Notamacropus eugenii: one gene and its partners. The protein of the gene in region 1 interacts with the protein of each later gene in a pairwise test. Links are inferred from orthologs where the notes say so. Each region holds a gene or a part of one and is shown on either strand. Other genes may lie near its edges.

Region 1 (3,747 bases):
TCAGCAAACCATATGTAAAGTATGCCTATACTAAGATGACACTGCAGAGTGAGGGGACTGGAAAGAAGGAAGGAAGGAATGGGGAGAAGGGAGAAGAATGACCTGCCTCTGTAAGTTTACCATATATAATTTACAAAAAATGTGTTTCTACATATCAAAAAAATGGTAGTCAAATTAAGTTATTTTTTAAATTAGCAAAATGTAGTCATTGTGGAAAATCTATGAAATATCCATATTATTTCATATACTCAGATATTCATGTATCTATGAAATATCCATGTTATTTCTACTGATAAAGAACTTTTTCCTTCTAATCCTCCTTTAGAAAATTATGCTTAAGAAATAAAACGAAGCTCTGTTCCAGGCTCTCCAGATAAAAAACTATGAAATGCCAATCCCAAAAGGAAATGTTTGCTCTACATAAACGATCAAAAACCAAAACAAAATTCATACTCCCTTTTAAGTTTAATGATAGGAATGGTCACTAAGTATATCTTGCAATACTTACAGGATGCAGAGCATCCTGAATTGGAGGAAGCTCATTATCAAAGTCTCTCTCATTTACTAAGATGAAATGATTAAAAGGAAGCTATACCTCACACACTCCTCCACAAGAGCAAGGATGTATTCATCTGACTTTTCTACCGCCTTGCCCCACCGCCAGGTGCTTAAAGGCAGCAGGGCCACACCTAGTGCTGGGCCTGGAATTGGGAAGACCCTAGTTCAAATACAGAATCCAAACCCTTACTAGATAAATTACCCTAGGCATAGTCATTTAACCTCTCCAAGAATCAGTTTCCAAATCTGTAAAATGAGAGTAACCTCAACTGTAAAACAGCACCTACCTGTTGTGAGGTCATCAAGTTGGTTAACATTGAATAATGCATGATGCTTTCCGTTGGCTCCCTAGTGTGTTGGCTGAGTTAAAGTGAATATGTAAGATAACGGGCAAATGTTGTCATCCTGCCTAATCTTGTCATCTGACACTACTACTGACCTTTTTTCCCTCTGCAACCTTCGAAAACAATCCAAATAATTAAGTTACACAGGTGTAAGACCAAGTCTCATCCTGTATCTTGTGAAAAGCAAAAAAAAAAAACCAAAACCAGCCTCTGATTCAGAATGGTTTACAATCATAAGTTCAACGCTCATCCTAAGACTTAAAGTTGAAGGGGCCTTTAGAGGCCATTTAATCCGAACTCAATTTACAGATGAGAAAACGGAGGCCCAAAGGGGTTACAGGACTTGGCCAAGGTCACACGAGAAGGCCGGACTTGAGCCCATACCCAAACCTTCCATCTGTTTTGCTCTTCTCAAGGAACCACGTTTTCCCTCCGTAACAATCCAATCACAAAGAAACCAAACCAAAGCCACTCCTCTGAAAGGGCCGGGCAGGTTAACCTAGGCAGCACACGGTAACACAAAACCTGTCCTGAGTTCTCTTTAATCCACAAAACCCCCCAACCACCAACGAGAAGAGCCCCCGTCCGGCGTCGGCAGGCAGGTTTCTCCTCCGTCCAGCCTCTTCGCACCCTGGGACCTCTCCTCCACCTGACATACGGGGCACTCAGCGGCACCCACACCTGCTCGGGTTCTCACCTGTCTCAGGTGCTGTTACTGCCACTGCCGAGGTCCCCATAGTCTCCAGGTCATTGTTCATTTCCTCTCTCGGGCTGTTAGGTTTCATTACTTCCTTCCTAACATGCGCACGCCGGGTCTCGTGGCTGAAGGAGCTTTCTCTCCACTAGAGGATGGCTTTCATCTCCACAGAAACCAGGAGCTCCACGCGGCTCTCCGTTTGCTCCGAGTCTTCGCTTTTGTTCCTAAGGCTTCATGGGCCTCGCTTCCCGCACGCGTCTCCCCTCGGCGCTGGGCCCGGCCCCAGCAGCACTAACCCCGCGGGCCCTTACTCCCCTCGCGTCCTCTGTCCAAGGGCGCCCGGAGCGGAAGGTGGGGGTGGGGCGGCGAGAAGCCAGAGGAGCTGGGGAGTTTCAGCACCTGGGCTGAGTCGTGGCTGCCGAGCGATCCCCGCAGTCCGGAGGACTGAAGATTCCAAAAAGGAGTCTATGCCAAGTCGGCCCTAAGAGTGGGGGGAGGGGGTGGCCAGGAGACGGTTCTAGAGGATCCCTCGTTCTGGAGAGGGAAGAAGAAGGCAAACCCTTTCTTCTACCTAGCCAAAGGAAACATGTCGACCGCCTTTGGGAGGGTTGGCTTGGGCGCCACTGAGCAACCGGAAGTGAAACCTTCCAGACCGGGAGCGAGAAAAAAAAGAAAGTGAAAACTGAACTATGGCGTCACGAGTGGGCGGGCAACCCAGGGCAACGCCGCGCTCCCCGACGCAGGGCGGGGCCCCCCTCGGCGTCCGGGCGCCGCGTCCTCAGTCGCCAAACCGACCCTCAGTCCCTTATCTCGCCCTGCGAGTGCCCCTCTACGCGCCGATTTCCCTCCCGTCTGACCCCACCCCCACCCCCCGGCAGCATGGGGCAGGCGTGGCCTCGGGGCTCGGCCCCTGAGGATGGGAGGAGGAAGAGGGAAAGGGAGAGACAAAAGGAAGGGAGGCGGAAGCGGAAGTACACTGCAAGGAAAAGGAAGGCCCGGAGGTGGGAGAGTTGCCAGGAAACCAAGCCCCCCAAAAGAGCCTCTTTGTAGAGGGATTTCTCCCTACCCTCCCGGCCCGCTCGGGGCTGGCGGAACCCACCTTGGCTTCGTTGGAATCTAGCATCCCAGTTTCCTTATAAAGTAACGAGAAGTGTGTGTGTCAGGTATTAAAAGCCTGGCCCCAGCACGGTGGGTCGCGTGGGGGACGCAAAAGAAGCCAACCTTAAGGTGCCCCCTCTTTAGGTGCTTCCACAGTTTTGAGGCCTGTAAACTTTTCACCACATACATACGTGTGTACAAAAATAATTTTTGAGCGCCTAGAGGGGAGCATTCTAAGCCCATCATAGATGCATTTTTAATTCATCGTTCATACTGCGACCCCGGCATAAGCTTGGCTTACTTCTCTAGTCCCATACACGAAAACATCTTTGTAAGACAGTCAATGACAAAGATTTTTTACATTCCTACACACGCAGGTAGAAATGACAGTCGTCCCCAAACATGGAGTTACGCAGATCCAATAAACATGAACCAATGTTTGTAGAGGTTCTGCTTGTTAAAAACCCAACCCCCAAGTCTGGTCTTGGTACTCACCATGGCCTTGCCCAATGCGAAGGCAATAAAGAAAACAAAAAGGAAAAAATATCTTATCTTAGATGTCAACCTGGTCAATACGGAATTTACTAGGTAGAGCATGTGGGCCTTTCCCTTCAGGGCCTTAACAACCAGGGAGAGAAATTATTATTTTCTATTATATTGATAACCAATTATTAAATTAGGATGAAGGCTTTTTCTATTTTCTCATTCAGAGAACAGCCCCTCCAAGTCAGTCTCAGAAGGGCATAATTCTCTAGTAAAGTAAGCTTTGTTCTTGGGAGGGAACCCACCCAACTAGGAGACTTTATTTCTGTTTAAAATGTAAACAGAATCTAAGGGAGGTGAATTCCAGCCTCCAGGCATTAAGCCCCAGGTCGTGTACCTCTCCATTGAAGTCTGGCGTAATCCAGGTCATGAAAGTGAAAACCAACCTGAGACGTCTGGGTAGATAGAGATGGTTTCCTTTGTCAGATGGCTGGAGGCAGCGGAGTCTCGAGATCAAACCTCTTTCTCAGCAAGAGGAGCTGAAGGCTTTTGCCCCACCTCCTCATT
Region 2 (3,747 bases), on another chromosome or scaffold:
CTGGTTTCCTCCTAGACGGAGGGGAAGGACAGCCAGAAATCTGAAAATGTATCGTTAGGATTTATTTTTTCTTTTTCTTTTTAGGGAAAATGACACCCTCGTGCAAGTTACTAGCTGACTCACTTCAGAGAATTGCTGGTGCGTGGGGAGGTTCCGAGGGGGTTATGGAAACCCCCTTGCTCACAGCATCATAGAACTTTATCGACCTTTCCTCCCGAAGGACCATAAAGAGTACGAAGGGAGGCCAGAGGACTGGGAGGGATGTTAGCACGTGGAGGGCTGCAGCGGGAAGGGCCCTTCAGTACGGTCCAAATGGCTCCTCTTTACCCTGGACTTAAAACTTCACCTTCCTCACGATCACCCCTGAGCTCATTACCCCCCTTTTAGAGGTCGAGAAGGGGGCTCCACGGAGGCTGGGGGACCTGGGAGCCCAGCTATTCGCAGAGTCGCATTTCCACAGTTCCCAGATCAGGTCACCGGGGCCCCTCCGGGACAACGGAAGGGACCGGCTCAAGGTCGCTGACCTCCCCGGCCGGACAGGCGGACAGGCTCTCGGCCAGAAAAGGATGCAAGGTGGGGCCCCGCTGGAGGCGGAAGGCGGAGCGGAGGGGACAAAGGGCGGCCCGGGGGACCGCCCGGGGAGGGCGGGGCTCGCTTCCCGCCCCCTCGCAGTCCCCGTGGGCCCCGGGACCGCGCTCCCGGGAGGCCTGCGTGGCAGACAGCGCGCGGAGGGGCAGGCGCGGCCCCGGAGGGGAGGCGGGGGCGCGCGTGCGCGGCCCCGGCGGCGGCGGCGGAGTTGGTGGTGGCGGCCGCGCGGAGAAGTTGCGTCCGGGACTCGGGGGCTCCGGCTGCGCCGCGCTTCGCCCCGAGGAGCCGGTAAGGCCCCGGGGGGCTGGGGGAGACTGGCCGGGGCAGAGTGGGGAGGGGCGGTCCTTGGGGTCCTTGGGGGCCGGGCCGGGAGCTGGGGCGGAGGAGGGGAAGCCTCAGGCTTGGGGCAACCGGAGAGCCCCGCGCCCCCTCCCCCCCGGGCTCAGCGCCTGGGACCCCCTCCCCCAAGGGCCCCTCCTCTGAGCTCCCCCTTCCCCATAGCACCCCGAGCCTGGGCGGTCAGCGCCCCCGGGGGCAGAGGGGGGGCTGAACTTGAACTTGGCTGGAGCCTGGGTGTTGTGCGTGTCCGGGTCGGTTGGTGCACGGTCGTGGCGGTGCGTTGGTGGGTCTGTCTGTCTGTCAGTATGTGTCCGTCGGTTGGCGTGCCGTCCCTCTGGGTGTCCGTGTCTCAGTGTGCCTGTCCCTGTCCGGGTCTCCGCGTCCGTGTGTCGCCCCCTCCCTCCGTCCAGGCGGGAAGGGGCTTGGCCCGTGGCCAGCCTCCCTCGGTGCCTGCAGCTCCCAGCTGCTCCGGGCCGAGCAGAGTCCAAGATTCCTCTTCCTGTGCACAGCCCCATTGCTGCGTGCTGGATGGGGGGAGGCTCCCAGAAACAGAAGTCGGGGCTGGGCTTTTGTTTTCCTCCGCAAAGGAGAGGGTAACAGTGAAAAGTCAACTTTGGAGGGGACTGTGGGTCGTGGAGGGAGGGACACGCAGCCCAACGCTACTTACAGACCCATACTACGTTCGGATTCACGCAGGTAGATGTTTGTAATAGGTGGGTCTGTTTTCTCTGGGGCTTTAATGCAATGTGCCTTCCTCACCACAAGTCTGTGAGGTGGGTAGGGCCGGCGTTATTATTCCCATTTTACGGATGTGGAACATTTGATTCAGAGAATTGAAGTATTTTATTCGTTGTCACAACACATCTAGTAGGTGTCAGAGCTAGGATTTGAACCCATGGCTCTTGTCTCCAAGTATATGTCATGATGGTGAATGGGAAGAGACACATTGAGACAGACACAAATAAAGGCACTGGGACATAGAGACGTAGATCAGTTTATGTATGCTCGTGTACCTACCTGTTTCCCTCCCATCTCAATTGACAGTCATCACGTGGGGCCTAGTAGATCTCTTTTCCTTGCCCCTTTGTTGGACACCTCAGGTTCCGGGAAAGGAGACCGTCTCTCCCTGGGTCTTCTTTATTTGGATGGGACTTCAGTCTGACATGTACATAAGCTTCTCTGATCTGCATTTGTATGGTCTGTAAAATAGGTACACACTGCCTGCTAACAGAGCTGTTAGGAAAGTGATTTGTAAACTGCTTTGCTATAGAAATGTGAATTGCCTTAGAATATAGAATATCAGAATTGGAAGGAAATTCAGTAGTCATCTAGTCCAACCAGCTCCCTCTTTTAACAAGATCATACAGTTGGTAAGTGGCTGAGCCAGGACTTGAACCCAGATCTTCTGGCTCCAATCTAGGGCTCTTTTCATTACACAAGAATGCATTACTTGTAGATAGAGCCAGAAAAACTATAACACTTTTCTGTAAGTTAATTGTCCCAACTTTTGGGAAGCTGCACCCATAGTATTGCTTAGGGTTCAAGTCCTAACGCTGTCACTTAACTGACTTTGTTACCTTGGGCAAGTCACTTTGGACACCCGAGTCTTCATCTGTAAAATGGGGAATTAGAATCCTTCTACTAGGTCCCTCATAGCGATGTGAGGATCAAATGAGATAACAGATTAGAAACTCTTCAGAGTGCTGTAGAATTGTCCCCTTCGTTTGGTGGTGGAACCTCCAGAAGGTTGGCCAGCAGGTGATGATGTATTTTGATTCCAACAAGTTTTGAAGTCTATTTCTGAGGGGTAGAAATGTTGGAACTCTATTAGCTGAGGAAGTGCCCACACTGATGAAATCATGGGGCCTCAAATTGTTGAAGTTATATCGTTATTACTCACAGATCTCTTGGTGATTTTGAGATGACCTGTTGTCTGGTTTGCCTGTGTTTTTGTATAGTGGAATGTTTCAGCTTCCTTTAAAAATGAAAAACAACAAAATTGACCTCTTCCAGAATTGGGAATAGGGTCAGAAGGAATGAGAGGCAGAGGGCTTGGTGTGAGAGGGAGGAATGTTTTACGTATGCAAATGTGATACTTGAATTAAAAAACAAATGGGATTGTCTTATAGGGCCACAGTATGCTGAGATGGATGACTGTGGCTTCTTTAAAAAATATTTTCCCAAATGGAAGAATTGTTGTTATAGAGCAACTGTAGTTAGGAAAAGAGGATGAGTGAGGAGTTCTAACTCTGGCTTTGTAACTGTCTGTGTGACCTTGGGTGAGTCAATTCCCCTTTCCAAGGCCTGACTTATCTTTTCTGAAGAATGGGATAATAGGTAGCTTCTAAGGTACCAGCTCTCAGTTCTGGGATCCTCAGGTGGGGAAGAACACATGTGGTCCTGGCTAATTAAGGAAACTGAGGATATGCAGTTCATCCCCTGGTACAACTGGCTATAAGCATGGGGAGAAAGAGACTTGGATTTGTAGTCAGTGTGCTTGGGTTTGCTACTTAATACTGTTGTGACCTTGAACGCAATATAGTATTGTATACCACTTCTCAACCGTCTTGGTCTCAGGACCCCTTTGCACTCTTAAGAATTACTGATGACCACACCTACCTCCACAGAGCTTTTGTGTGGTTTATAGCTATAGATATTTACCATATTAGAAATTGAAACATTTTGGTATTATGAAAATAATTTTGATCTTGTGGACCCCCTGAAAGAGTCTCAGAGGCTCCCAGAGGACAAACCACTGGACTGTAGTAGATAGGGCACTGGAATGAGTCAGGATGAGTTGGATTCAATTGTTACCTCAGG
Region 3 (3,747 bases), on another chromosome or scaffold:
AATTCTAAATGCATAATGGAACTTAACCGGTCTGAATAGATTTAAGGGATAAATAATACAGACTTGTTATTTTTATAATAAAGATTTTTCTTTTTCTATCATAAGATACTAAAAGCATTTTTTAACTATACTCTTTCCTCATACCAGCGCTGTCTGCAGAGCTTTCTGGAGGTTCTTCATTTTATAGTCAACCCAGTTATATTTTATATTCCTTCTATTAGCCAAATTTGTTCTAAAGCATTCCTCATGAATTTTTTTTGGACTTTTAACACAAAGCAGCAATTCTTTTTACCACGAATTACAGTAAAAAACCATGCTAATACCAAATATGAGGAAACATATGGCTACCTAAGTAGAATTTAGGAAACTCATTTTCACTCTGAATTATCTCCCCTCCCTCAAAAAATCTACAATTCTAGGTAATCTTATTCATTCTAGCATTGGTACTTCAATTTTTCAACCTCCCCAAATATAATCTAATATGACAAATTCTAAGACAACATTTTGTCTCCAAATGTTTCTTCAATTTCTACCTCCCTTAAAATCCAACTCCATCGTCCTCCTGAAACTAACGGTGGTAAAAGGACCTCACAATAACGTTGTGCATTTCTCCAATGTCTTTAAAATGCAGTTTTGAACATTACCACCTGACTGCTAAACAAGCAAGCCTCTAGGCTCAAGTCTGAATCCAGAGCCGTACCCCATTCTGACACCCCATGCAGAGTGCCTGTCAGAGTAGGTGCTCTTGAAATGTTTATATAATACCATAGTAGTTTATGCCGTTGAACAATTAAAAGACCTATATTTCCCTTTAAAAGGCATCTCAAAATTCTTTAAAAACAAATCAAGATTACTTAATCTAGTCATGAAATGCGAAAGCAAATGTTTTTCACAAGAAAGCTAATTGAATTTCTCTGATTGCCATTTTAAATTCTAATCAGACTAAAAAACAGCAGATGACTCCAATGTGCGTGACAGGAGCAAGTTGTTGTCAGGGGCACCTTTTGAATTAGTTTGCTCTATTAACACAAGAGATATTTAAAATGATCAATAAAAGTGTGAAGCACTGAAAATATTTCCCAGAAAGACATATTATCCACGGTCCAAGTTATTCTTTTCGCTCCAACCTCGCAAGGACTCAATAACCGCCTATTTGCAGGCACCATGCGTACAGGATTCCTTTATACACACAGATCCTCTACAATTTAAAACTGATGCAGAGTAAGAGACTCTTACAAACAGAAGCTCACTTGATTCGCAAACTCTTAAGTTCTACATCCAACCCTCACTTGGGGAAGGCACGGGTAATAAAATATGAAGAGCGGGAATACAGAAAGGGGGAAGGGGGAGTAGAAGGAAAGTACAGCCCTAAGGAAAACAAGCATTCACACAGTTCAGAAGTAGACGAGAGAGCCGCGGCCCCCACGCGTGGAAGGGGCACCCCCCAACTCCAAGGGCAGCTCCGTGGCTGCTCTCCATAAACACATGCCATTACTCATAAGACGGCAGATTTTGGAGGGAAAACAGGCTGAGCAGTCGACGTCGCCTCGGGGTCGGGGTGGGGGTGGGGTGGGCAGCAGACTCATCCCCAGCACCCTCCGGAGCCTGCCGGATTGGAGCGGGTGCCCTCCGCGGCCTCGCCCAGCTCCCCCGGGACCGGAGCGCGCTCGCCTCTGGCGGGCAGCTACAGGCTCTCGAGGTCGCCCACGTTGCGGAAGGGGGATTCCGAGCCGTCCCCGCGGGCGTGTGAACCGCGAGGGGTGGAAGGGTGGGGGGGTCAGTCAGCCACAATGCGGACACCGGGGGGCCGGGCCCAGTCCCCGGAGACGGGAGAAGGGCGGAATCACAAGGGTCAGGGGAAGCTCCGGTTCGGCCCTCCCAGCCTAGGGTTATTATCTGGGGTAGGGGACAGCCGCCGGGGCCTCTCTCACCATCGTCCGGAGCTCCGCCGCTGCCGCCGCCACAGCCACTGCACACGAGCTGAGCCGCAACCCCGCTAACAGCCAATCCCCGCGAGAAGAGCCACCGGAAGTCGGCGGCGCAACGCGAGAGCACCCCCCCCCAGGAGACCAGAGACCCATACCTTCAAAGGAGCCGTTGACGCCTGGCTGGCCATCTTTGATGAGGGGGGAAAGACTACCGGGGAGCTTTCGGCTTCGGTGCGGATCCTGTTCTCTCCACGACGCTGAATATTAGGCTCCTATGATCAGACACCCATTCCAGGGGATCAGCTGCTCACGGAGCGACAGAGATCCAGTCCCGCAAGCCCAACTCAAAGATGGCGGCTGGCTGGGTCGAAGAGAACCAAAAGTAGGTTGTGTCTGGGAGAGGACGGTTGTGACCCGGAAGCAACGTTTCAGAGGAGGAGGAGGGGGCGGGGAGGGCAATGCCGAGATCCGGAAGTGGATGTGTGGAGGAGGTGCCACTTGGCGGCAATGGCTGCGATGGCGGCGGCTGGGGAGGCTCCGGGCCGAGGCCGGGCAGCTAGGGGGACCCCTGGGTATAGGCCAGAGACTGAGCACTGTACACGCTTCTGCTGAATCCTCCCCCGAGGTTCCCGTTAGAGAACTGCGGCCTCCGTTCCTCAGCCCTCTAGACACGGAAGAGAGTGGGCCGGTGCTGGTGGGCTGCTCTGGGCCCTGGGGGTGACAGGGGGAGGTCACTGACGGGCGGACTCAGGGGACAGGCTCGCTCGCCTCCCCTGCCTCTTGAGGCAGTGTATCCCCCGCCCCCCATTCCGTGTCCCGCAGCTTTAGGGCCGTGACTTTACGATTGCCAGTAGTCTCACACAGCATCATTCCCCCCCATGGACTTCTCCCCTTGGTAACAGCAGAAATCTTGTGCTCTTGTCATCTGGGGATAAGGCCCCCCAAAGCCCTCGCTGGTCCTGTTACCAGGAAGCAGCAGTTCTCCCTGGTAGACAAGGAAGAAGTGACTAACGTAAACCTGCTGTCGGCTGGAGCCCGAAAGACCTGACCGGAGCAGCTGATACTCCCCAAGCCTGCTCTTCGGGAGCCACGAACGTGTCTAAATAACTAAGCACCCTCTGAAACCCCGGGTGGGAGGGGGGAACAGTAGTTGGATGTCCTTTGGGGTAACGAAAGGACAAGAAAATGGATGATTTCCTCTCCATTAGTCTTCTGTCGCTGGCCATGCTGGTAGGATGTTACGTGGCTGGAATCATCCCCTTGGCTGTTAATTTCTCCGAGGTAAGACGTTCTCAATTCTCTCTCAGTTTTCAAGATAGCTGGTGTAAAGCAGAATTGGTACGGGCAGATCCCCAAACCAGCAGAACCAGAGGCCTTTTCCCTTGCTGGACTAACTTAAAATACCAGAAGAGTTTAACATGAAACCTTCCTACTCCCAAATCCCTAACTAACATAAAACTATCACCAAGAAACTTTTAAATTGATCATTGGTTTGATTCTTTTTAAATGGTAATTGGATTGATTCTAGTTAAAATCAGTTTGTGTCGTTGCTTTGAAAAACAATGCCAGCTTGATTTTTGTAGCTTTTCTCAACTATGTTTCTGAAAAAAATCTCAGAAATAGAACTTTTATTTTAAGTGTGCTCCTAATGGGAAAGGGATCGAGATGCTGGTATTTAAAAAGTAGATTTGGAAACATTTGTTTTCGAAACATTTTTTCTTATACCGTAATATTTAGGCAAATGTAAAGTTTATTTTTCAGGCCTTGAGCATGCTGAGAAGATAGACGTAGCATAGATTCTTTAAATGCCATGTATGTT

Evidence for each region.
Region 2: the proteins of TASOR2 (region 1) and NEK6 interact in binary tests that used the Homo sapiens proteins (3 or more experiments, as listed by UniProt). The link is inferred for Notamacropus eugenii from reciprocal best matches to the Homo sapiens genes TASOR2 and NEK6.
Region 3: the proteins of TASOR2 (region 1) and ERH interact in binary tests that used the Homo sapiens proteins (3 or more experiments, as listed by UniProt). The two-hybrid records come from large-scale screens. The link is inferred for Notamacropus eugenii from reciprocal best matches to the Homo sapiens genes TASOR2 and ERH.

Annotation. Positions count from the first base shown.
Region 1 is NC_092874.1:209,473,220-209,476,966, reverse strand, and holds the start of TASOR2 (protein TASOR 2), read right to left. Parts: upstream 2,339-3,747; 5' UTR 1,688-2,338; coding exon 1,600-1,687; intron 1-1,599.
Region 2 is NC_092872.1:446,227,129-446,230,875, forward strand, and holds the start of NEK6 (serine/threonine-protein kinase Nek6), read left to right. Parts: upstream 1-1,217; 5' UTR 1,218-1,232; coding exon 1,233-1,623; intron 1,624-3,747. UniProt on the Homo sapiens protein: Protein kinase which plays an important role in mitotic cell cycle progression. Required for chromosome segregation at metaphase-anaphase transition, robust mitotic spindle formation and cytokinesis.
Region 3 is NC_092872.1:310,048,684-310,052,430, reverse strand, and holds the start of ERH (enhancer of rudimentary homolog), read right to left. Parts: upstream 2,203-3,747; 5' UTR 2,117-2,202; coding exon 2,084-2,116; intron 2,064-2,083; exon of another isoform or gene 1,935-2,063; coding exon of another isoform or gene 1,932-1,934; intron 1,719-1,931; exon of another isoform or gene 1,490-1,718; intron 1-1,489. Other genes in the region: SLC39A9 (zinc transporter ZIP9), read left to right, coding at 2,203-2,310. UniProt on the Homo sapiens protein: May have a role in the cell cycle.